Struthio camelus: one gene and its partners. The protein of the gene in region 3 purifies or fractionates together with the protein of the main gene of each other region. This does not show direct contact. Links are inferred from orthologs where the notes say so. Each region holds a gene or a part of one and is shown on either strand. Other genes may lie near its edges. The genes, in order: SETDB1, EHMT1 and SUV39H1.

What was found.
Region 1: the proteins of SUV39H1 (region 3) and SETDB1 purify together in Homo sapiens (affinity purification with mass spectrometry; 3 studies listed by BioGRID and IntAct, counting the BioPlex papers as one, with this or other methods). This does not show direct contact. The link is inferred for Struthio camelus from reciprocal best matches to the Homo sapiens genes SUV39H1 and SETDB1.
Region 2: the proteins of SUV39H1 (region 3) and EHMT1 purify together in Homo sapiens (co-immunoprecipitation; 3 studies listed by BioGRID and IntAct, with this or other methods). This does not show direct contact. The link is inferred for Struthio camelus from reciprocal best matches to the Homo sapiens genes SUV39H1 and EHMT1.

The regions. Positions count from the first base shown.
Region 1 is NC_090971.1:2,523,186-2,530,473, forward strand, and holds the start of SETDB1 (histone-lysine N-methyltransferase SETDB1), read right to left. Parts: upstream 3,078-7,288; 5' UTR 2,948-3,077; intron 1,165-2,947; exon of another isoform or gene 1,089-1,164; 5' UTR 1,078-1,088; coding exon 866-1,077; intron 514-865; coding exon 341-513; intron 1-340. Other genes in the region: ARNT (aryl hydrocarbon receptor nuclear translocator), read left to right, coding at 6,779-6,872. UniProt on the Homo sapiens protein: Histone methyltransferase that specifically trimethylates 'Lys-9' of histone H3. H3 'Lys-9' trimethylation represents a specific tag for epigenetic transcriptional repression by recruiting HP1 (CBX1, CBX3 and/or CBX5) proteins to methylated histones.
Region 2 is NC_090961.1:11,457,311-11,464,873, reverse strand, and holds the start of EHMT1 (histone-lysine N-methyltransferase EHMT1), read left to right. Parts: upstream 1-4,473; 5' UTR 4,474-4,632; coding exon 4,633-4,695; intron 4,696-7,563. UniProt on the Homo sapiens protein: Histone methyltransferase that specifically mono- and dimethylates 'Lys-9' of histone H3 (H3K9me1 and H3K9me2, respectively) in euchromatin.
Region 3 is NC_090979.1:349,843-357,267, reverse strand, and holds SUV39H1 (histone-lysine N-methyltransferase SUV39H1), read right to left. Parts: upstream 3,056-7,425; 5' UTR 2,972-3,055; coding exon 2,953-2,971; intron 2,449-2,952; coding exon 2,303-2,448; intron 2,013-2,302; coding exon 1,356-2,012; intron 992-1,355; coding exon 845-991; intron 662-844; coding exon 532-661; intron 310-531; coding exon 173-309; 3' UTR 96-172; downstream 1-95. Other genes in the region: WDR13 (WD repeat-containing protein 13), read left to right, coding at 1-61; actin nucleation-promoting factor WAS, read right to left, coding at 3,775-3,824, 3,938-4,043, 4,593-4,755, 4,906-4,951, 5,630-5,783, 6,569-6,611, 6,787-6,967, 7,305-7,355. UniProt on the Homo sapiens protein: Histone methyltransferase that specifically trimethylates 'Lys-9' of histone H3 using monomethylated H3 'Lys-9' as substrate. Also weakly methylates histone H1 (in vitro).

The DNA of each region.
Region 1 (7,288 bases), on a different chromosome or scaffold from region 3:
CTGCCATACAGGCAGCTTCCCCAGAGCAAAAGCAGCATTTGACGGGACAACGATCAGGCAGACAGAAAAAGGGAAAGGTCCCAGCTCGGCACCTGAACAAACCTTAACTCAAGAGCCATGGAATAGTTACAGGCCCAGACAGACCACGCAAGAGGTGATGTTCCTCGCACAAGCCAAGGGCATTTCCTCTCTGATCCTCTTGTGCTTAAGGACCAACAGTGCTTATGGGCTACTTTACAACATCTTCACCCTGATCCCTACTCATTCCCTTCCTCCTCCAGGACACGCTCGTATGTCCATCCCTCCCCTCAGCACCACGCAGCATAACGGGATACTGAACTGTGCTTCCAGCCCGAGTCAATGCTCATGACATCATCATCGTCCTCATCTGGGATCTCGATCACTTCTGTGGCCTTAGCAGCCAAGTCCTCGTCCTCAGAACTGCTCTCACGATACTGGAGGCCCAGCTTGGAGTACAGATCTTTTACTAATATCTCACATTTATCAATGGCTCTGGGGAAAAAAAAAAAAAGAGGAGCAGAGACAGGAAAAGACAAGGTGAACCCAGCTGTACATCCCACAATAACACAGAAACAAACAGGTGCTGCTGGAGACCTGCTAATTAAATATAACCATTGGTAGGTGAGGAAAGAGTATTTGTGCGAAGAATTCGAAGCCACAGGATGAGGAATAATTTTAACTGTTCCTCAAGAACCTCATACAAGTGAGCTGACGAAGAACTGCAGCATCAGTGCACACGGACGGGAAACAGGCAGTGCTCAAAACACTGGACCCTGCCATCTGATCTCCTCTGCTCCTTCAAGGCCTGACTTGGACACACAGCCACAATTCCAAGTGCGCCCACCTTGAAGCATCATCAAAGAGCCGGTCGACGTGAGCCACCTCCTCTTCCTTCTGCTTCACGCACTTCTCCAGCTCCTCCAGCTGCTGCTTCCTCTGCTTCACACACTCAAACTTCTCCAGCTCTTCGTCAATGATGTCCTGGAGCTCCTCCATGGAGATACCTAGCTCCTCCATAACTTCTTGTTGTAGCTCTTTGATCTCCTGGGAATCCATTTCTGCTGCACCTGAAGCCACAAGGAGCTGAGAAAAGCCCAGCAAGATTCTATGGCTCTATCACAGCCTCCACTTTTAAGAGCTGATCTGGAAGATTATGTTATATATTCTGTTAAGACAGCATTACAGAGAGCCAAAAATAACCAAAGTGCAAATGACCCACGGAGCTGAAGGCTCCTAGGACAAGCAGAAAGTATTTTCTCTGATCCCTGCATGGATCCTGCTGAATACCAGACCCTTACGCTAACCCTCTTCTCCACAACACCTGCGAAGCGTTCCCAACTCTCGGACACCTCTGCCTGGCCTGGAAAAACCAAGCAGACACCTCTCCCAGTCTGTGCTACAGCTTCGCCTTCAAGCAGCAGCCCAGAACAGCTCCATCCCTCTCCTTCCTAGGGTATGTAAAGAGCATTATAACATCCATCCCCAGCCCCAGGGAGGGCCCCAGCGGCTTCCCCTCTCCAGGTGTGCAGCCTGTGGCCCCCTTCGCTCTGTGCCTGGCGATAAAGCGAGCAGTCTCCTCTATATTCAAGTCCGCTCTCCTGCCAGCAGCCCCTCTCTCATCTCTCCCTGCACTCTCCCTGTCTGCATCCAAGCAAATACTTATCTCCAGCCTCCCTCACTCTCCTGCTCCCCCATGCCACCTCCCATCCCAGGCCTCCCCCCTCTCTCCCATTGCCCTGCTCCAGCCCCATCCAGATTTCTCTCCCCCACAGCATTTCTCTCCCAGCTGCTCCCAGGCCATCCCCAGATGCAAGCCCCATATACCTCTCCCCCACCCCCCACACCTCCCAGCTCCACTCCCACCACCCCAAAAACCTCCAATTTCCCCACAGCCCCCCATTTCCCCAACCCCCCTCACTGGCCCCATCTTCACCCCAGTGCCCTCCTCATAGCTAGCTCCCTGCCCAACAGCCCCCAGCTGCACCCCATCCCAATACCCTGCTCCTCCTCCCCACAGCCCCCCATCCCAATACCTCCACAGCCCTCCTCCGCCCCAAGCCTCCATCAGTCCCTCAGCTGCCAACACATCCTGCCTCACAGCCCTCACCCTAACACTCTCTCACCCCACAGCTCCCCTATGCCCACAACCACCTATCAACTCCCAGCCGTTGATACCCCCTACCCCACAGACCCCCTACGCCCCCACCCAGTACTCTCCATCTCTTGTTCCACTGCCTCTCAAACCCTCTCCTCACTCCAAACATCTTCTCAGTCCCACGCCACCTCTCACACCAATATCCTCCTGTCCCACAGCCCTTTCCTTACCACTCAATATCCCCCCCAGTCCCATAATACCCTCACTCCAATACCCCCTGCCCTACAGCCATCTCCTCGACCCCAACATCCCTCCACAGCCTCAGCACCTCTCAGTCAGATTTCCCCTGCCCCACAGCCCCCATTACCCTCTGTATCCCCTCACAACCTCCCAACATCCCCTATGCCAATAACCCCTGCCCCACAGCCCCCTCCTTGCCTCCAAAAGCACCAGCACCACCAGTAACCTTTATCCCAACAGCCCAAGTCCTACAGCCTCCTTACCCCCAATATCCCTCCCACATCAATACCCTCTGCCCCACAGCTCCCGCCTTGCCCCCAATAACCCCATCACCACCCCTAGGACCCCCCACCCAGATTCCCCCTGCCCCATAGCGCCCCTTTACTCCCAATATCGCCTCACAAACCCCACTCCAGCACTACCTGCCCCACAGCCCCTTCCTTGCCCCCAACAGCCCCACAACAGACCTCATCCTGATGCCCCCCGCCCCACAGCCCCCTCCTCACCCCTAGACCCCCTCTCCCCGATGCCCCCCGCCTCACAGCCCCTCCTCGCTCCCAGGCCCACCCCCCCCGGGCCAGCCACACTCACCTCACCCCTAAGGCCCGGGGCCGGCCGCGACCCCGATTACTAGAGAGCAGGCGGTGGGGGGGGGAGCCGGAAGTCACTGGCGTCACTTCCGGTAACGGCAGCCCAAGGAGCCCAATTCTCCCCCTCTGGCCGGCACGGCGCAGAGACACGATAGTGCGCATGCGCATGAGGCGGACCGCCGCTCGCCAGCCCGGGACTTGCGGGCAGGCCAGAGCGCATGCGCAAAGAAGCAGGGCGCTTTTAAAGGGGTAGCGCCCCCCTGCTGGAGCCCGAGCCCTGGGGTGCTGGAGAGATGGAGGGTCCTGGGGCAATAGGGGATCCCGGGGGTAATGGGGGGGCCCTGGGGAGATGGAGGGTGCTGGGGGCAGTAAGGGGTCCTGGGTATAAGGAGGGGGCCCTGGGGTGATGGGGAGTGCTGGGGGGTCCTGTGGGTAACGGGTGGCCCTGGGGTGACTGGGGAGTGCTGGGGGGGCCGTGAAGCGATGGAGGTGTTGGGGTTGCCTCAGGTGCTGGAGGGTCCTGGGGTGCCAGGAGCCCCGGGGTGACTGGGGAGTGCTGGGGGGGCCGTGAAGCGATGGAGGTGTTGGGGTTGCCTCAGGTGCTGGAGGGTCCTGGGGTGCCAGGAGCCCTGGGGTGACTGGGGAGTGCTGGGGGGCCGTGAAGCGATGGAGGTGTTGGGGTTGCCTCAGGTGCTGGAGGGTCCTGGGGTGCCAGGAGCCCCGGGGTGACTGGGGAGTGCTGGGGGGGCCGTGAAGCGATGGAGGTGTTGGGGTTGCCTCAGGTGCTGGAGGGTCCTGGGGTGCCAGGAGCCCTGGGGTGACTGGGGAGTGCTGGGGGGCCGTGAAGCGATGGAGGTGTTGGGGTTGCCTCAGGTGCTGGAGGGTCCTGGGGTGCCAGGAGCCCTGGGGTGACTGGGGAGTGCTGGGGGGCCGTGAAGCGATGGAGGTGTTGGGGTTGCCTCAGGTGCTGGAGGGTCCTGGGGTGCCAGGAGCCCTGGGGTGACTGGGGAGTGCTGGGGGGCCGTGAAGCGATGGAGGTGTTGGGGTTGCCTCAGGTGCTGGAGGGTTCTGGGGTGCCAGGAGCCCTGGGGAGCCCTGAGGGTGCCAGCGGGCCCCGTGGGGCTCAGTTGACCTGTTCCTCCTCCCAGGTGGCGGTGGGGATGGCGCTGTAGGGGTCCACCACGAGCCGGGCGCACCGCACTGCCATGGCCAGCAGGAAGAGGCACATGAGCACCACGAAGGCCACGGTGATGCCCTTGTCCACGTCGAGGGCTGGAGGGCTGGTGGCTGGGCCAGGCTCCATGCAGGCAGCCCTCAGGTGCGTAGTCCCTGGCCCTGGGCTGTCGGCCCCAGCATCACCCGGCTCGGTTTGGCCCAGCTTTAAAACATCCCCGCTATTGGTTTTTTTTTTTTTTTTTTCCACAGCCACTTTGCCCCAGAGCAGCAGGACCCCCGGAAGCATTAGGTGCACTGAGCATGCCAGGGCTCAGTTGAACCTTCGCAAAGTGATGGCTCAGATTGGAAACGCGACAGGTGCCCGTGGAGGCTGGGAAAAGCCAAAAGTGGCGACAGTGGAGGGTCTCCAGGTTGCTTAAGAGAGATGCTGGCGGACAGACAGATTTGCACGAGGTAGGGGCAGAGGTAGAGGCTTGGCAAGGCCGTCAGGCACAGCCCTGCGGCCTGAGCTGCATGTACATCTATGCCGATATATATATGTATATGCCTATATATACGTATTAAAGTGCCATATGCACCAGGATCAAATGAGCTCAGCCCCAATGACGGCACATGCTGAAATAGGACCCGCAAAGTCCCGTAGCACCCATCGATCCCGTCCCTAGCAGCCCCAGACATGCCATCTGGGGCTGTTCCTTACCTCCTGGCAGGCGGGCGGACAGACGGACTGGCCACTCTGCCCTGCTCGGTGCCGCTTTGGGGCCATGGCACCATCCCCGGGGGTTCATGAATACTGCAGGAACACGGCGGCGTCGCCTTTCAGGCACTCGCAGTAACCAGGAGAAACGATCTCGCAGATTAAATTATCGCCCGCTCAGGCTGAAAGTTTTTCCAGCGGCTCCTTTGCGCTGTGGGTGAGAGCTCATGGGCGGCAGGTGTCCCGGCTGGGTGCTGAGCACCCTCAGCACCCACCAATGGAGCCAAGGGTGACCCTTTCAGGGCCTGTGGCCCCCCAAGGGCTCTGCAGGGTCAGGCCAGGCGATGGCCCCCCCCCTTGCATAATTTGTCAGGTTTCTGCCAGCGGGACGAAGGGCAGCGCACGAGGAGGGCGCCGCGCCGGGAAGCGAACCGAATGAGCCCGTTTACAGCCAGGAACCCCCTCCCATGCTGGGGAGAGGCGGGGGGACCCCAGCTGGCCCCTGCCACCATCCGGCCCCACTCACGGGGGCTTCTGGAGGGCCAGGCCCAGCGTGTGCTATGAAAATTGGCTATAATTAACCACTTTACCACTTTCCTGCCACAGCCCGACCCCAATCCCAGTCCCAGTCCGCCAATCCCAAATTCAAACCCCATCCCTAAACTCAATCCCATCCCCAGCCCGAGTCCAAACCCAATGCTAGTCAAAATCCTAATTCCATGTCCATTTTCAGTCCCAGTCCCAATCCCCATAGGGTTCCTGTCCTCCGACAAAAAAAAAAAAAAAAAAAAAGCAACATAGAACGTCACCGAAACCGCCCTTTAAGTCTCCCACTGGCCCCCCCCACTCCACACACCCCCGCTTTGGCCACGCCCCCGCCCCGCGAAGGGGGCGGGACATGCCTGGGGTCACCCTACCCTGCTGGCAGAGGCTGTGCTGCCTGCCTCTTTGCTCCCACCCCTCAGCCCTGTCTAGGCCAATGGGGATGCTCCGCCTCGTCTCCGCCCCGCCCCTCTGGACGGGCAGGCTAGGCTGCGCCGCAGCGCCCCGGGTTTTCCTGCGCCGCCATCTTGGCAGTGGCGGCGGTGAGGAGGGAGGAGGGGAGGGGGGGGGGGAGTCTGCCCGCCCGCCCGCCCGCCCCGGTTATGGCAGCCACCGCCGCCAACCCGGGTGAGCTGGAGCTGCTGCGCTAGATGGCTTGCGGGGGGCGCGGAAGCAAGCTGCGGGGGCGACAGGGCTCAGGAGCTCTGAGGGGGGCGTGGGGGGCTGGGGGACCGGGCCGTAGAAGGGCAGGGCCAGGCCAGGCCGAAGGGGGTCGCGCAGGGCGCTGCTGAGGGGTGCGGGGCCGAAAGAGCCACTGAGAGGGGCTGGGTGGGCCCGAGGGCTTTGGCAGGGGCTGGACTAATGGGGCTGTTAAGAGGGGCTGGGCCAGGCCAGAGGGGTCGTTGCGAGGGGACTAGGGTGGACCAGGTCCCGGCGGGTGGTTAGGGGGGCCCAAGGGTGTCGCCTGGGTGAGGAGGGTTGGGGGAGCAGGGCTGAGGGGACGGGAGCCTTGGTCAGGGGCCTTTGGGAGGAGGAAGGGGTGTTCTCTGGGGGCTGGGAGGTTTAGGGGCCTGGGCTGAGCTAAGGGGCTTGGGTGTTGGGTGAGGGGAGCCTTTAGGGGGGTGAAGGGGGGTTATCTCTAGGGACTGGAAATTATAGAGGTCTAGGCTGAGCTGCAGGGCCTGAGTGCTGGGTTGGGGGGCCATTTGGGTGTGCTGGGCTGGGATAAGGGGTGTCATTTGGGGTACAGTGTCAGGAGGTGTGGGGGAGGGATGTCAGGAGGACTTGATGGGGTGGCCCTGGGAGAGCAGATGAGGGAGTTGGGGTGGGGAAAGGATGCTGAGGGACCCAGCTCAGGGGGAGGCTTGGGGTGCTCGGGAAGGGCTTGGAGAAGTGGGGTGGTGGAGGGATTGTTGAATGGGGGAAACTTGGAAAGGGGGCACTATGCTGAACGGCAGGTTGTTTTGGAAGAGGAAAGTGAGCTGGAGGTGCTGGGGGAGAGAAGAAGATGGTGTGTGAGCTAGCGTGTTGGAGAGAAAGATGTTTGTGCCTGTTGTTGCTCCCTTAGCTTGAACGGCTGGCGTGGGCCATGCGCATGCCTCATCCGCGTACATGGTGCTGGGGTCTGGTTTCTCTCATAGCTCCTCTGGCAGGGAGGGAGGCCTGGTGGGACTCACTTGCATTTGTTATCCCTAATGGCTTATGTTGTTTTTTCGGTCTTTTTTGCTATATGTTTCCTTGAGGTTTATTTGAATTGGCTTGGTGTTTTGAAAGGGACTTTTACAAATCTTACCTCCACCTGTTTTTAAACTGCTGAGCAGAATAGCTGGTGCGTGCCTGTCAGAAGAAAGCAGAATATCCTTTCAACTCTTGCTCTCTCAAGTCAGTAACAAAGGGGTGATCCTCTGCCTGGAGGAAGCTGGAAAT
Region 2 (7,563 bases), on a different chromosome or scaffold from region 3:
GAACTTGTTTACAGGAGGAATGTTTGTAATGGTTAAAAGAAAAATTTAGGTGTGAGGTCAAAGAACAGGGAAACGTTGGAACACGTGAGATTCGTAGGCAGAAGCTGAAATGGTCTCCAGTGTTTCGGTGAAGTGTTGCAGCAGAAGTGAGACAGCATGTAAGCAGCCATTTTTACTGCCTGCTTTCCTGGCAGAAGACTACTAAAAAGCAGTCTAAAGGCTTTGCGTGACGCGCTGAAATGCTGCCGATTCCCACCCCATCGACCATTCCAGAATAAAGCAATAAAACATTTGTGTGTGGAGCAAATTGCTAGTGTGGTTAAAGCAATAAGCTTCATCCCTGTTTTCGAAGATGGGGTATGCACGTGATGTGTTTAGTGCCCTTCTCAAGTCAGGCTGTAAGTGTATGGTAGAAGCTCTTAATATATGGTAGCTGAATGAAGGGGAGAAATGGCGTTTTTAGCTTTCCAAAATAGAAAGAGCCGTGGTTACTCTAAGTTAAAGCTGAAGGAGTTTATAATTGGGAACTGTTAGGAATACAGTATGCTCTGAATTACAGCTGTCTGTCCAATATGACTCTAAATAAAGTTCTAGGATTGCCCTGTAAATGAAATACTCAACATGCATTCTTATCAAAACATGGCAACATCTTCCAGAGAGCTTACATCTCAACATCTGTCACAACAGCATCAGTTTTTTTGGTTTTGGGGTTTGTGTGTGTGTGTGTGTGTGTGTGTGTATGTGTGTATGTGTGTATTTGTGATGTACTCAACACAGTGTCCCCGGGAACATTTTATGTTTCCTATTCACTAAAAGCAGTTTTAAGCTTTGCTGAGGAAACGGGGGGAGGGAGGGAAGTGGCTTGAAAACTTTGGAGAGAAAAAAGGAGGTTTCAAAAGGTGAAGAAAGCTGTAATTCCAGAAGCGCGCGTCCATGACTGACCGCTCCTTCAGAACTGTTACCTGAGCCTGTGAGGGGCGAAGCGGACGTTTCGGCTCGCCCTCTCTCGGAGGAGGAGGCGGAGGACGCTCAGAGTATCCCAGGACTGGGTGTTCGGCTTAGGATGCGTTCAGAGTCATCTTTGAGAAGGGAAGGAGGCGTTCTGAGAGCCTGCAGCCGAGCTGAGGAGTAGCTCTTAGCGATGGCAAAGCGAACCGGCTTTCCGGCAGAAGCGCTCGTGTTTGTGCTGGAAGCCGCTTTACCTGCGACGGCCCGGCCTGGCCTGTCGTGCTGTTGTGAGCGCTTCAGAGGAGCCTTGACAGGGAGCCTCGGCTTGGCGCGACTGTACGGGCTGAAGCGAGAGCTTGACGGAAATCAGAGAAAAGTCCTGTATTTTGGAGAGCTAAATACTGTTCTTCCTATAGAAGACAGATCTCCCCTTCCCTCCCACTTTGCCTCTCTGTGAGGAGGGAGCTGTGAAAATGACATGTGTAATGGTGTAATTAAGCAAAAGCCCTTAGGAGCCCCGTGTCCTTTGTGAAGGAAGGTTGTTGTTCTGCTGTCTTCCTCTTTAAATAAAAAGTGAGATTTTTAAAAGGCTGTTCAAGCCTCGAATCATGGAACTGAGGCCAGAGAGCCCAGAGCTTAAAATTATCCTGTAGTTTTATGGGCCCCGGTAGAACACTTTTTTTTTTTTAAAAAAAAAAAAAAAAGGCGACTGCCAGACAGTCCGCAGCAGAGACGATTCGATGGTGAGATTGCTAGAGAGTTAAATAAAACCTTCATGAGGTAGAGGCCCGTTGTAATTTTACTCAACTGCGAAGGAAAGAAAATCCACCTCAGCCATTTTGGAGAAGGATTTCACTTTCCCGGAGCGGGGAATCAGTTCAGCTTGGTGCTGTGTAGGTGAAGTCCCAGAGCAGTTAGATCGTTCAACCCTCCTAATCCCTCCGCTTGCGGCTTCGCGCTGCCGGTGCACGTGCGGGAGGCAGGGGCAGAAGAGGGAGGGCTCCTTCTCGCGTCCTGCGCCCCTGCCCCCGCAGTGCCCGGCCTCCACAAAATGGCTGCAGGGCGGCGAGGAAATGGCGGCCCTGGCACAGCCTCCCTGGGCCCTGGGTGGCAGAGGGAGCCCAGCAGTGCGGGCTGCCCCGTGCTGGGCCTGGAGGAGGCCCAGTGGGGAGGTGGGAGCTGGTGAGGCCGGCCTCGGGCGCGGGGTGGTGGTGGTGGGGGGGGGCCTTGGCCACCCCAGGCACGTGGTGGGGCCGCTTCAGGACACGGCCGCTGAGTGGCGGCGCGATGCCGTGGGCAGCATGTGTAATGCTGCAGAGGCTGTCTGGAAGCTTCTGTTTCTTTTTGGATGCCATAAATTTAAGAGCTCGGCTGTTTTTCCTCAGTAATAGCACACAAGCAGCCTCCGCTCCTCCAGAGCGTCGCTGTGCGGAGCTCCTGTAGGGCGCTGATCAATCGCTTTGCTCGAGTTGATTGTGGAGGCATCCACGATATCCTGCCTTTTTTTTTTTTCTTTTTAACCAGTGTTTAGTGCTTTCCAAGATGAAAAACGTCTCTAGCAGCTTCTGCTCGCAGTGTATTTTCACCCTCACCAGTAAAAGCATTTTTCCAGGGTTGACATGCTGCATTTATGAGTGAACCCCGTGGCGTGGGTTTGGATCATCATTATATCTCGGTCTGAAAATGGGCGTGGACCACATGAGTTCAGTGACTCAGCGTTTGTTAGTATCTTTGTTTCTGTACTTTTAGTGAAAGTTTAGTAACTTCATGCTGCCCAAGGCGGGTAACACTTCAGCTGGTTTAAAGCCCTCTTTGGTTTGAGCCACAGTGATACAGTGGATGATACAACTTCTGCCAATGTAGTCAGGTTTTGTTGTTTTCATTTTGGGCTTTTTGGCTTTGTCTTAAATGAGTTACCTCTACAACTTTTGGTGATTGATGCAAAGGCCAAAAAAAATCTCGTTATCTATATTATTACTTAGATTGACATCAAGCAAAAAAACCAGTGGGTGGCAGAGAGATCCTGGCTTTATTCTGTCACCTTGGATATTCATCCTTTATGAATTTTAGTCATGTCAATTCAGCCTTGTGTGTTTTAACTGTTTAATAGTGAAACTCCTCCAAAGCGTTTAGAGGCAAACAATGTCGTTTTAGCGGAGGCAGCCCCATGGACGGTTCTTTTGCTCTTTTAACTATTGCCACTTTGCAAACGTGCATCGACGTGGTGGTGAAATAAATACTTGGTCTGTAGGAAACGTGGCTTGTTGGCGTTTCTGGTGTGTGATAATGTGACAGCGTGGCACGCTCTTGCGGTGCTTTAGTAAAGGAGAGGAGGGGATGGGTAGAGAGAAGGCTTCATACTTGTGCTGAAGCCTTGAATTTTGAGTGCCTGCTTTCGTGCAACGTGTAAGGCAAATAAAATCATTGGGCTCCTCAAAACCTCACTATGGATTTTTCTGGGTTCCCCCCCCCCCAACGGCGCAGGCTGTTCCTTTTCCCTCCCCCTCCTCCTTCTCCTCTCGGTCCATTGTGAGGCAACACACGGAGCCAGTGTTCGTTTTAACGTTTCAGCTTCAGGAGAATTGTCTTCCCCACTCCTATTTTATGGAAAATTGTTTTTTGCTTTGGTCAAGAACAGGCGGGTGGGACTACAGCCCATTTCAGATTTCCTCTTCCTTCTTCCCTCTTCTCTTCTCCTCTGTTCTCTGCTCCCCTCCCCCTTCTCCTGGGGGAGGTTCTCCAGAGAAATATTAAACACGGAGAAACCCTCGGACTTTTGCATTGTGATAAATGTCATTTGTGCATTTGAATCCGTTCCAGCTGATCTCTGCTTACAGATGTTCCTGCAAGTTGCTCAGGCAGTTTTACTGGGAGCTTTAGCAGATATGAAGGTTGCCAAGAGTTTGTGCTTAATTGTCAAATTGAACAGAGACAAACTACTTTTATTTTGAAGCTAAAATTTCTTCTTTGCTCTTGCTGGCTGGGCCAGCTGTATCATATGGTTTGACATAGGCTGAGCTGAGAGCTACTGCACCTAGTAGTGTACTATCAGTTCTTTTTTTTTTTCTTTTTAATAATTGTATTTGTGATATGCTTTTAAGGTTGGTTATACCAGGTCATGTTATACTTTAAGTCCCTGAAGTGAAAAATAGCACCCCTTCAGCTCAGCATATCGGATCTCAAATTCACTTTCAGTTGGACACTGTACACTTAACCAGTTTAACCCGTATGCTTTTATCCCACTATTCAAAGGTCGGGCGCTTTATTAAGCAAAATATAATTAGTGCAGGGGTGTCCTCAAACTTCGATGCTATTGTGCAGCATCTCTCTCTTTTTCTTTCCCCTTTTCTTTTTTTTTGTAGGCAAGGGCTACTCTTGGAGGCCACTGAAACAGAACACATTATTACATGGTTTTAAAAGGCTTTTGCAGGCTACTGATCAGTTTTAGGCCTGGCACTAGGTCAGACCGTTGACAGATTATCTTTATTAACTGTGCGTTGCACCAGGAGGACCGAGTATCCCTGCGATGCCTTAGATAATAGTTGCTCCAATGGAAGCCCTTAAGCCTGCAGGTTCTCTGTGAAATGGCTGCAGCTTGGAGTGAACAGTGAAATGGTCTCCACTGGGCATGCTCACTCTGTAGAGGGAGCTTTTATCACATGAGCAGAAACTGAATCACTGTTCATGAGGATCTGGAATATGCAACTCTTTGAGTCTTCATCAAAAGAAGACCACAGATGTCTGCAGGTACAGTAACTTGTAGTGTCCATGTTCCATATGTCATAAATAGCAGATTCCCTCAGGTTGTGGCCGCAGACAGACTGTTGTCAGGTAGGAAAGGAGAAACCTCTGAGAGGAGGAAGACAGTTCAGATAATCATGGCTGGATTTTTTTATTTATTTTTTGCCCTATGCAAGAGAGAACAGCACAGCAGAAATGTGGGTATTGCATATTGATGCAGCATGCAGGGTAGTGTGCTGGGGCGTCTTTTGAAGAAGCGATTTACAGAATAACCTGGACAGGCGCAGTTGCTTTTCAGACTTTGACTTCTGATCTTTTGTGTTGCTATTAGTGTTACTTTGTTTTGCTCAATGGACTTGTATATAGTTCTGAATCTGAAATTACCTGTCTCTGGGGAAGTTTAGGCTTATTTCCACGCATTAAGTCAGTCTTTTATTTGTCTTCTGTGTTGGGGAGGGTGTGGAGGTTTGTCTGGATTTTTTATTTTTTTACCTTTTTTTTTTTTTTTTAAAGCATGAAGTCTTTTGAATATTTGGGTCTACCAGGAGCCCTCCCTGCTTCCGTTTCTTATAAGCAAGAAGAGAAAACCCTGGGGTCTTTAAACTGTTTGAAGACTTGAACTTTCAAAGGGAAGGAGAGGGCCTGTGGACACATTTCACTTGCTTGCTAGAAACAATTTTGACAGCCTTCGGTTATGTCAAGCAAGCCTACAGTTTAGTTTTTAGGGTGGAAGGAAGAGCGAGCATGATTTCATCAGGAAGAAAGGATCTTTTTGGGGGGGGTGGTGGTTTTGATTTTTTGGCCGTTTGTTTGTTTGTTTGATGGGGGCTTTATTTATTTATTTTCTAAGTAGCCTGCAATCCAAGAGAGCAGCTGATTAAAATGAAACGTCCGTGGTTGATTTCATGGCAGAAGGCCCATGTCAGCAGTTTGTTTAAAAGGTTGCCTAAAATTCATACCCCTGGCCCTGCCATGTGTTTTTTGTTTTGTTTTTTGTTTTGTTTTTTAAGTTGTTTGTGTTATATGCACACACAGCTGTGTTGCCTGCTACAGCGACCGGTCTGACTTGGAGCATACACCCTGTTCTTGACCTCCGCTGTTGTCTCTTAAGGATTGCAGGTTCCCAGAGCTGGGGGTGATCCTGGCACCCTCTGCCAGCCTGCAAAACACTGGCCCCAAACCCTGTCGCTTGCTGGGTTTGAGGAAGGCCCTTAAAACTTCCATATGTACCTACGTATTAAATTTTTAAATGACCAGTGAAATGTGAAGATAGCCTTTAAAGGGCTAGAGAGCTTACAGGACGGTCTGTGATATCTAATCTAAATATCTGTCATGTCTGCAGGAGACTATAGATACGCTAATTATTTGTCATCTAGTAAATGCATATTAAAGGCAAATAACATCAAAAGAAGTCATAAGGAGATGAAGTAGTTTATTTTTTAAAAGTGAAGAGCAGAGGCCTTGAAATATTACTGGATGAGCTCCTATCCAGGAAAAAATGTGTGTGGGGTTTGCTGAAGGCTAAGCAAACAAGCAACCCCCTAAAATGCTGAGGCAACACTTAGGGGTGCTAACAAGTGCATGTACGTAATATGGTGACCATGATGAGGCTTGTGTGATAGCCTGCCTAAAACACTACATAGTCACTTATTGCTGCCTGAAATTCCTTCCGAGAGCGTTGGCAAAATGATGCTGAAACGCCTGACCTACTTTTTGGAGGGAAGAGGCAAGCGTAAGGTTTGAAATTCCATGTTGCTTTTCAGCAGGGGTTAATAGTCCTAAATGTGGGCTTTTGGGTCTTATTTTTTTTCCTTCGCGTACTAAACTGACTTTTATGTTACTTTAACTCCAGTGCTAAACAGCTTCAGCCAGCCAGTGAAAATAATTGTGAGTATTTACTAGCCCAGGCAGACGCTTTCGTCGCCTGTCCTTGGCAGTCGCGTGTGAAAAAAAGCAATGCTGTTGTACTTCCCTTCAAAAGCTATTCTTCCTCTTCCCAAGCAAACGATGGGCTAGCGAACGGCCCCTCAGAGCCGTGTACCTCGCTGTTGTGTCTTGTTCATGACAGAGGGAGGTTGCTGGTGTGTGGGACATGTTTTAGGACCCCTCACGGGCTTTAAAAATCGCCCGGGCCCCCTGTTAACAGAAGCGCTGGCCATTGCAGCTCATGCTGGCTTGCAGCTAGGCATGTGAGCGGTGGTTATTGCTGCTAATGAGGCCCCCAGCTTATAAAAACAAGCCGTCTGCTGGCTCCCCGGCCTAGTAACGAGGAGGCTGGGCTGTCACGGCGCCGGATCGGGCCCGCCGCGCGAGATCCCGTTTTGCATCCGGGTGTCCGGCCGAGCGGCAGCGCTGGGGCCGTGGCTGCCTTGCAGTGTTAGTACTTTTCCTCCTTCTCCCGGCGTTTGAAAGTGTATCTCGTTACGCTGGTATGCCGCAGGAGTGCCAATGCCAGTGTGACCTCTCCCGTGTGGTGCCATCTCCTAGTGAAAAAGGATCATGTGCTTTTTTTTTTGTACAATGGCAGGGAACTATTTCATTCAGGTAAACAAGGACATTTAAGGAGCTTCGCTATCATGGCCAGCTGGTGTGGATGTTTGGGGGAGGGATGATTTGATTCCTGGTGCTTTTTTTGTTGTTGTTGCTCGTCTCTCTCTCTTTTTTTTTTTTTCCCCCTTCCTTAAAATATTCTTTCTCCTTTTCCTGTTCCTGGATCTTAGAGAGGTCAAGGAATCACTGCAGAGACTTCTGACCACCTGGACTGAGGGAATTATCTTGCCTTTCGATTCAGGCTAAAGACTTGGGGCTCTGGCAGTGTGCATTAGCTGCTCTTCAGGCTTGAAGGACCATATGCTCCTGTAGTGAAATGCACTG
Region 3 (7,425 bases):
CCTGCTGGCCTCCAGCGACGCCACCGGCACCGTCATCGTATGGCGCCGCCAGCACGCCTAGTGCCCCCTGCCCCTGCACGGCACGGAGCCCCCCAGCTTGGCAAACAGAGCGTGTTTTGCACCCATGTGCGCGTGTCGGCTGCCTGCGTGCGTGCCGGGGGGGGGGGGGGGGCTAGAAGAGGTACTTGCGGCAGGTGGCGGCCCCACACTTGCACTCGATGCGGCCCCGGGCCCGGGGGGAACCGCCCAGGCCCCCAGCCAGCCCGAAGTTGGAGTCCATCCGCGTGCTCTCGGCATCCACTGGGTCCACTGCCGGGGGGGATGGGGCACAAGGGGTGTGTCAGCGGATGGGAAGTGCTGTGGTACAATCCAACACCCCCCTGTCTCTATGGCCGTGGTATGGCCCACCTACCCCCAATCTCTATGGCTGTGGTACGGCCCAGCTGCCCTCCCCCCCCATCTCTTTGGCAGTGGTACACCCAGCTGCCCCCCCCCCCCCCGCCCAGGGGCTGGCCCGGGGGCGGGGCTCACCGTGCATGTTGTAGTCGAAGGTGAGCTCCTCGCCGGCACGGATGGGCCGGGTGGCGAAGAGGGCAATGCGTGGCAGCCGCTCGTCCAGGTTGTCGATGAAGACATTGTACACCTGCAGGTTGGGGTCACACTGCAGGGGCAGGAGGAAGGTGTTAGGCCACACCCCCAGCACAGGCTCCTCCTCCTCAGCACTGCCTGGCTCCACCCACAAGCACCGACCCCCCCCCCCAAGCTGCAGCAACACCCCCAGGGCACCTGGCAGGCCTGGCACACCGGGCCCCACCCCTGAGCGTTTAGCCCCGCCCCCACTCACACTGTGGTTGACAAAGTGGGAGATGTTGCCATAGCGGGCAGCGTCCACAGTGTAGACGTCCTCCACGTAGTCCAGGTCGAAGAGGTAGGTGGCTCCCTGGCGGTCATAGACCTGCCCCCGCCGCTCCGCCTCCTCCGACGTGATGATCTGGGGGCCGGGGGGGCGCACGGGGGTGAGCTCATGCCAGGGTGATACAGGGACACAGCAATGACCTCACGTGTCCCCATGACCCCTCCCATGTCCCCACGGCTCACGCCAGGGTGATACAGGGACACAGCAATGACCTCCTGTGTCCCCACATCCCCTTCTGTGTCCCCATGGCTCACGCCAGGGTGATACAGGGACACAGCAATGACCTCCTGTGTCTCCACATCCCCTCCCATGTCCCCAGGGCTCACACCATGGCAATATAGGCGCACAGCAGTGCCCTCCTGCGTCTGCACAGTGACACAGGGCAGCTGCAGCAATGCCACCCCATGTGTCCCCGCCCCCGCGGTGGCACAGCGCTCACCTCACCCACGTACTCCATGACAAAGCTGTTCTTGCGGATGCGCTCGAGGGTGCGGACGCCCCAGCCCCGGCCATTGCCAGTGCGGAAGATGCAGAGGTCGTAGCGAATGCCCTTCTGCACCACGCGGTTGGGGCACTCGGCCCCGCAGCGGCACCGCGAGTTGCACTCGTAGATGGGCAGCCCAGCCCGGATGCGCACTTGCCCGGCCTCGTTGTAGGCGAATTTGTTGCGCGAGGCGCCGGGGCAGCAACCGCCAGCCGCCTCGGCCAGGCAGTCACGGCACTCGCAGCCCACGGCCACGGGGCTGAGGGTGATGCCGGCCCCCACCTTGTACTCATTGATGTAGATGAAGTCCCGGGGCGGGCCGTGCAGGTCCACCTCGTTCTCCACAGCGATACGGCCCCGGTGGCGGCGCTTGGTGTTGAGGTGGCGCTCCCAGCGGCGCAGGGCCCGCCGCTGCTCTGCTTTCTGCACCAGGTAGGAGGAGGCGCGGGCAGGCAGGCCCCGTGGGCCAGGCCGGGCCGGCCCTCCCGGGGCACGCGCCAGGTCCTGGTGCAGCTGCTTGAGCAGCCCCCGGCAGCGCAGGTTCTTGCGGGGCTCCCAGGTGTTGGCTGCCTCGGGGTAGCCCCGCCACTTCACCAGGTAGAACTCCTCGGCCTGTGTGGCAGGGAGACCATGTCACTGCAGGCCCGGACACCTGGGGCCATGCTGAGCCTCAGGATCCCAGAGGACCCAGGTGCCCGGGACCTTCCCAGCTCTCCTGAGAGTCATTGGGGACCGAGGTATCCAGGGCCTTCCCGGCCCCTCCTGGACCCACGAGGGACCCAGTCCAGGGCCTTCCTGGAGGCACGGGTCACCCAGGCGTCCAAGGGCCCAATGCTCTGGGGACCCAGGCGTCCGTGCTCCCCACCTCTGCGAGGGACCCAGGTGTCCAGGCGTGCACTCACCCCCACTCTCTTGTAGTCGCACAGGTACTCCACCTCGAAGTGGGCCAGGTTGCGGCGGGTGACGCCTAGCGCCCGGCACCGCAGCCGCTCCAGGCGGCACAGGTCCTGCAGCTGCGCCCAGGACGACTTGCAGCACACGGAGCAGCCTGCGGGGCACCGGGGGGCGGGGGCACCTTCACCAACGCGCGTGGGCCCCACCCACCGCTGCCTGGACGCCCCACGGGACCTACCTGCCACACGCGTCTGAGGTCGAGGGTGGCGCGGCGCCCACGCGCGTGGAAGCCCCCCGGTTCCGTGCCAGCCCCACAGGCGTGGGGATAGCCTCCCCACCCCCCCGAAGCACCGGGCGCCCCCGCACCCCCCGCCGGCGGAGGAGCCGCCTCAGCGCGCCCCGCGCCCCCTCACGCACTGCCCCTCCCCCGCCCCCCGCGCCCCCTTTTATACCCGCCGCGCGCGCGCTGCCCCCCTCAGAAAAGGCGGGAAAAGGCGCCTCCCCCCTCACAGCGCGCGGCTGTTCAACGGTCGCGCAGCGCGCCAGGTGTGGGGGGGCGGGGGGGCGTTCGAACGCGGCCCGCGCGCGCGCCCCGCGACCGTTAAACCGCCGCGCGCGGCCGTTAAACGACCGCCGCCCTCCCGCGCCCCGCGCTCACCTTTTAAATTTTCCGCCATCTTTTTTTTTCCTCCCCCCTCCCCCCCCGACAGGCACCGCGCGGCCGCCGCACCGCGCGGCCCCGCCCCCTCCCTCCGATTGGCAGCGCCCGCCCGCCTTATTTGCATATACCCAGCAGCCCCCGCGCTCCTTCCCGGTGTCACCGCCCACGCCAGGGCCGCTTTTTTTTTTTTTTTTAACCAATTTCCGCTTCTTTTCCCCCGCCCTGGGCACACCCAGGGCTCGTGCCCTGCCTCCGCCTTCTCGCCTCGGGGCGGAAAGCGGGATATTCCCCCCCACCCCCGCCCCACAAAGCCTCAGAGTGATGGAACGTAGCAATCACACGTAGCCGTTAATTAATTAATCTCATTCATTAATCTTTGTAACACGTTGTTTGTGAAGCATGGCCGTGCTTGCTGGTGGCTGGGGCCACGTGGTGTGGGGGGGTGCCGCCAAGCGGCCCCGCTCACCTCGAGGCAACGGCTTCGTTCGTTAGCAGCTCGAGCAAACGAGGTGGTGCGGTGCTGGTTTATTCCTTAGCAGCTTGCACAAATGAAGCCCCCCCCCCCAAAAAAAAAAGTGCGGGGGAAGGAGACGTTATCCACAGTCCCCCAGGTCTCGTTCACGCCAACACGGCGCTCGGCCTCCGCCATGGGGTGGCCCGCATAAACCCCATGTGTGGGGCGCTATGGGGCAGGTGGGGGGGGTAAGCGAGGTCGTACCGGACCAGGCCCGCAAAGCAAAGCACTGTGGGAAAGAGGGGGTGCTACAGGGCGGGGGGGACACACAAACACGGGGGCTCCATGGGCCAGCGCCACGGGGCTCAGTCATCCCACTCGTCGTCCTCGTCCTCCTCGGCGTCCTCGGCCTCGTCTGGGGGGGAGGAAGCAGGGGGTGAGCAGGGTTTGGAGGGGGGAACAGCGCAGGGGGTGCCCTTCACATGTGGGGTGGCCCCCTGCGTGTGGGGCGGCAGCCCCCCAGCTCACCGGATGAGTGGATGGCCTTGCTGCGCTTCTGCATGACCTGCATGAGGGCCCCCACCAGCCCCTCGGGAGGCTGCCCCACGGCACCCGCCTCAGGGGCCTCAGGGGTCTGCAGGTAGGGAAAGGGAACAGAGTCAGGGCTACCCCACAGAACGCTGCTCCACACTGTTACCTGTCCCACGCAACCTACCCCACAGTGTCCCCTGCCCAAAACCTCTCCCCCCACCCCACAGTAACCTGCCCCACGCTGTCCTCCACCCCATGGCAACCTGCCCCACAGTAACCTGCCCCACGCTGTCCTCTGCCCCATGGCAACCTGCTCCACACCTCCCCCTGCCCCACGACAACCTGCCCCACACCGTCCCCTGCCCCATGACACCCTACTCCACACCATCCCCTGCCCCATGGCAACCTGCTCCACACCTCCCCCCGCCCCACGGCAACCCACCCCACACCGTCCCCTGCCCCATGACACCCTACTCCACACCATCCCCTGCCCCATGGCAACCTGCTCCACACCTCCCCCCGCCCCACGGCAACCCACCCCACACCGTCCCCTGCCCCACACCGTCCCCTGCCCCATGACACCCTACTCCACACTGTCCCCCGCCCCATGGCGACCTGCTCCACATCGTCCCCCAGCCCCGTGCCCCCCGACCTTGTTGAGCTGCACGCCCTGCCGGATCTGGTCCAGGAGGGCCCCGCGGCCCTGGGGGGGCCCCGCGGCGGGGGCACCGGCGGTGGCGCCAGCAGCCGGCGGCGGCGGCGGCGGCGGCGGCGGGGGGGGTGGGGGGGCTCCGCCGCGCGCCGGGGGGGCGGGGCTCCCGCGCGCAGGGGGCGGGCCGGCGGCAGGGGGCGGGGCAGGGGGCGGGGCCCCGCGCGGCGGCGGCGGGGCCGGCGGCGGCGCCCCGGGCGGCGGCGGCGGCAGCGGCCCCTGGCGGCCGCGGGGGGCGGGGCCGGCCGCGGGGGGCGGTGGCGGCGGCGCGGCGGCGGCGCGGCCCGGGGGGGGCGGCGGCCCTGGGGGAGGGGAGAGAGGCGTCAGCGCCCGGCGGGAGCCCCGCCCCCGGGGCCACGCCCCTAGGGCTGGGGGGGCACGTGGCACCTAGGGGGGTATGGGGCCTATAATGGTGGGGCATGGGGCCTGTAACAGGGCATAGGGAGCCTATAATGGGGGGGGGTGGGGCCTATAACGGGGCATAGGGAGCCTATAACGGAGGAGGTATGGAGCCTATAACGGGGGGGTGGGGCCTATAATGGGGCATAGGGAGCCTATAACGGAGGAGGCATGGAGCCTATAACGGGGGGGTGGGGCCTATAACGGGGCATAGGGAGCCTATAACGGAGGAGGTATGGAGCCTATAATGGAGGGGGTGGGGCCTATAACGGGGCATAGGGAGCCTATAACGGAGGAGGTATGGACCCTATAACGGAGGCCCATGGACCCTATAATGGGGCATAAGGGCCCTATAACAGGAAGGGGTATGGACCCTATAATGGGGAGGGTATGGATGCTTTAACGGGGGGGCATGGGGCCTATCTGGGGGACTACGGACCCTACGGCGAGGGTCGTACGGGTCTTACAGCGGGGCCTGAGGGGCCTACCCCGGAGGAGACAGGTGGCTGCCGTCATCGGGGCGGCGGAGCCCCTCGGGCCCGGGGGCGCAGGGAGCGCTGCGCGGCCGCTGGGGGGCTCACCGTGGCGGCGCATCTCCTCCTTGACGGCCTGCAGGCCGCCCTGGCCCTCGATGAAGTCGTAGATGAGGCGCGAGGTCTCGGCGTCGGCCAGCTGCGCCTCGCTGATGCCGGCCCGGGCGAACAGCGCCCGCAAGTCTGGGTCCAGCTCCTGCACCTGCGGCCCGGCACCTACGGCCTCCGTAGGGCTGCTGGCACCACCCGCCGCCCTCCCCGCGGGTATGGGGCCGTGCTGCCCGCCCCGCCCTGGGGGCGTGGGGTGTATAGCACCCACCCTGGGGGGGTGGGACCCCACAGGACCTCCCCAGGGGGCTATGGGACCTATAGCACCCACCACAGGGGATATGGGACCTATAGCACCTGCCCCAGGGGATAGGACCCCTATAGGACCTCCCCAGAGGGTATGGGACCTATAGCACCCACCCTGGGGGGGGACCCCACAGGATCTTCCCAGGGGATATGGGACCTATAGTGCCTGCCCCAGGGGATAGGACCCCTATAGGACCTCCCCAGGGGATATGGGACCTATAGCACCCACCCCAGGGGATATGGAACCTATAAACCCCACCCCAGGGGGTATGACCTCTATAGAGCCTGGCTCAGGGGGTATGACCTCTATAATGCCAGCCCCGGGGGGGGGGTACGGGCCCTATAGCACTTGCCCTGGGGGGTTATGACCCCTATAGCACCCACCTAAGGGGGTACAGGCCCTATAGCACCCACCCCGGGGCAGTGTGGGGCACATAGCTGCCACCTAGAGGGGTGTGGGGCCTATAGCCTCTGCAGGGGAGCTCTAGTGCCCATGGGAGGGAGGTGTTTCTCCTATACAGCCCAGGGGGTCTCTCCCCTATAGAGCTTGGGGGGGTCCATCCCCCCTATGGGGCCCACAGGGTTCTTCCACCCATAAGGCCTGAGGGTCACAGCCCCTATGGGGTGACGTACGTTGAAGCCGCTGTTGGGGTCCCATCCGATGTGACCCACGTGCCTGGTGGGGGGTGGTGATATGAGGGGTTGCCCCATAGCAGGAGGGCTGGACCCATGGCCGAGCCCTGCCCCATATGTACCCTGCCCCTCACGTCCCCCCCAGCCCCACACGTCCCCCTGCCCCACACATCTCCCCACCCCACACATCCCCCCAGCCCCACACATCCCAGACCTACTTGAAGCCGGAGGGTGCCCCGATGTCAGCCTTGGAGATCTTCTTGCGACCCCGCTTGCGGTCAGTGGCTGTGGGGCCTGCTGTGGGGCCCGCTGTGGGGCCAGCCGTGGGGCTGGGCAGCCCCCGGTAGCGGCTCGCCGTGATGTCGGGGTTGGCAATGGGCACAGCCGGCACTGGGGGGGCTGCGGGGGCATGTGTGTGGGGCGGGGGCCGCTATGGGGCTTGGCGGCCACTATGGGGCAGGGGGACTCCCTTTGGGGCAGTAGAGACTGGCTATGGTGCAGGGGAACCCACTATGGGGCAGAGGGGACCCTGCTAGGGGGCTAGAACACTGCTATGAGGCAGGGACTGTGCTATGGGGCAGGCAAACCCACTATAGGGTAGGAGAGACCCCACTATGGGGCAGGAACCACTTGCTATGGGGCATCAAGGATCCCCTTATAGGGCAGGGACATTCCATTATGGGGCAGGGACCCCGCTGTGGGGCAGCGGAGCCCCTGCTATGGGGCAGTCACTCACCACAGCCATCCCCGGCAGATGCAGGGGGCCGGGGCAGACTCCCGCGGCGCTCTGTGATGGGGGGCAGAGGAGGTCAGCGCCCCACGGCTGCCCCACAACATCCCCCCCATGGCCACCCCAC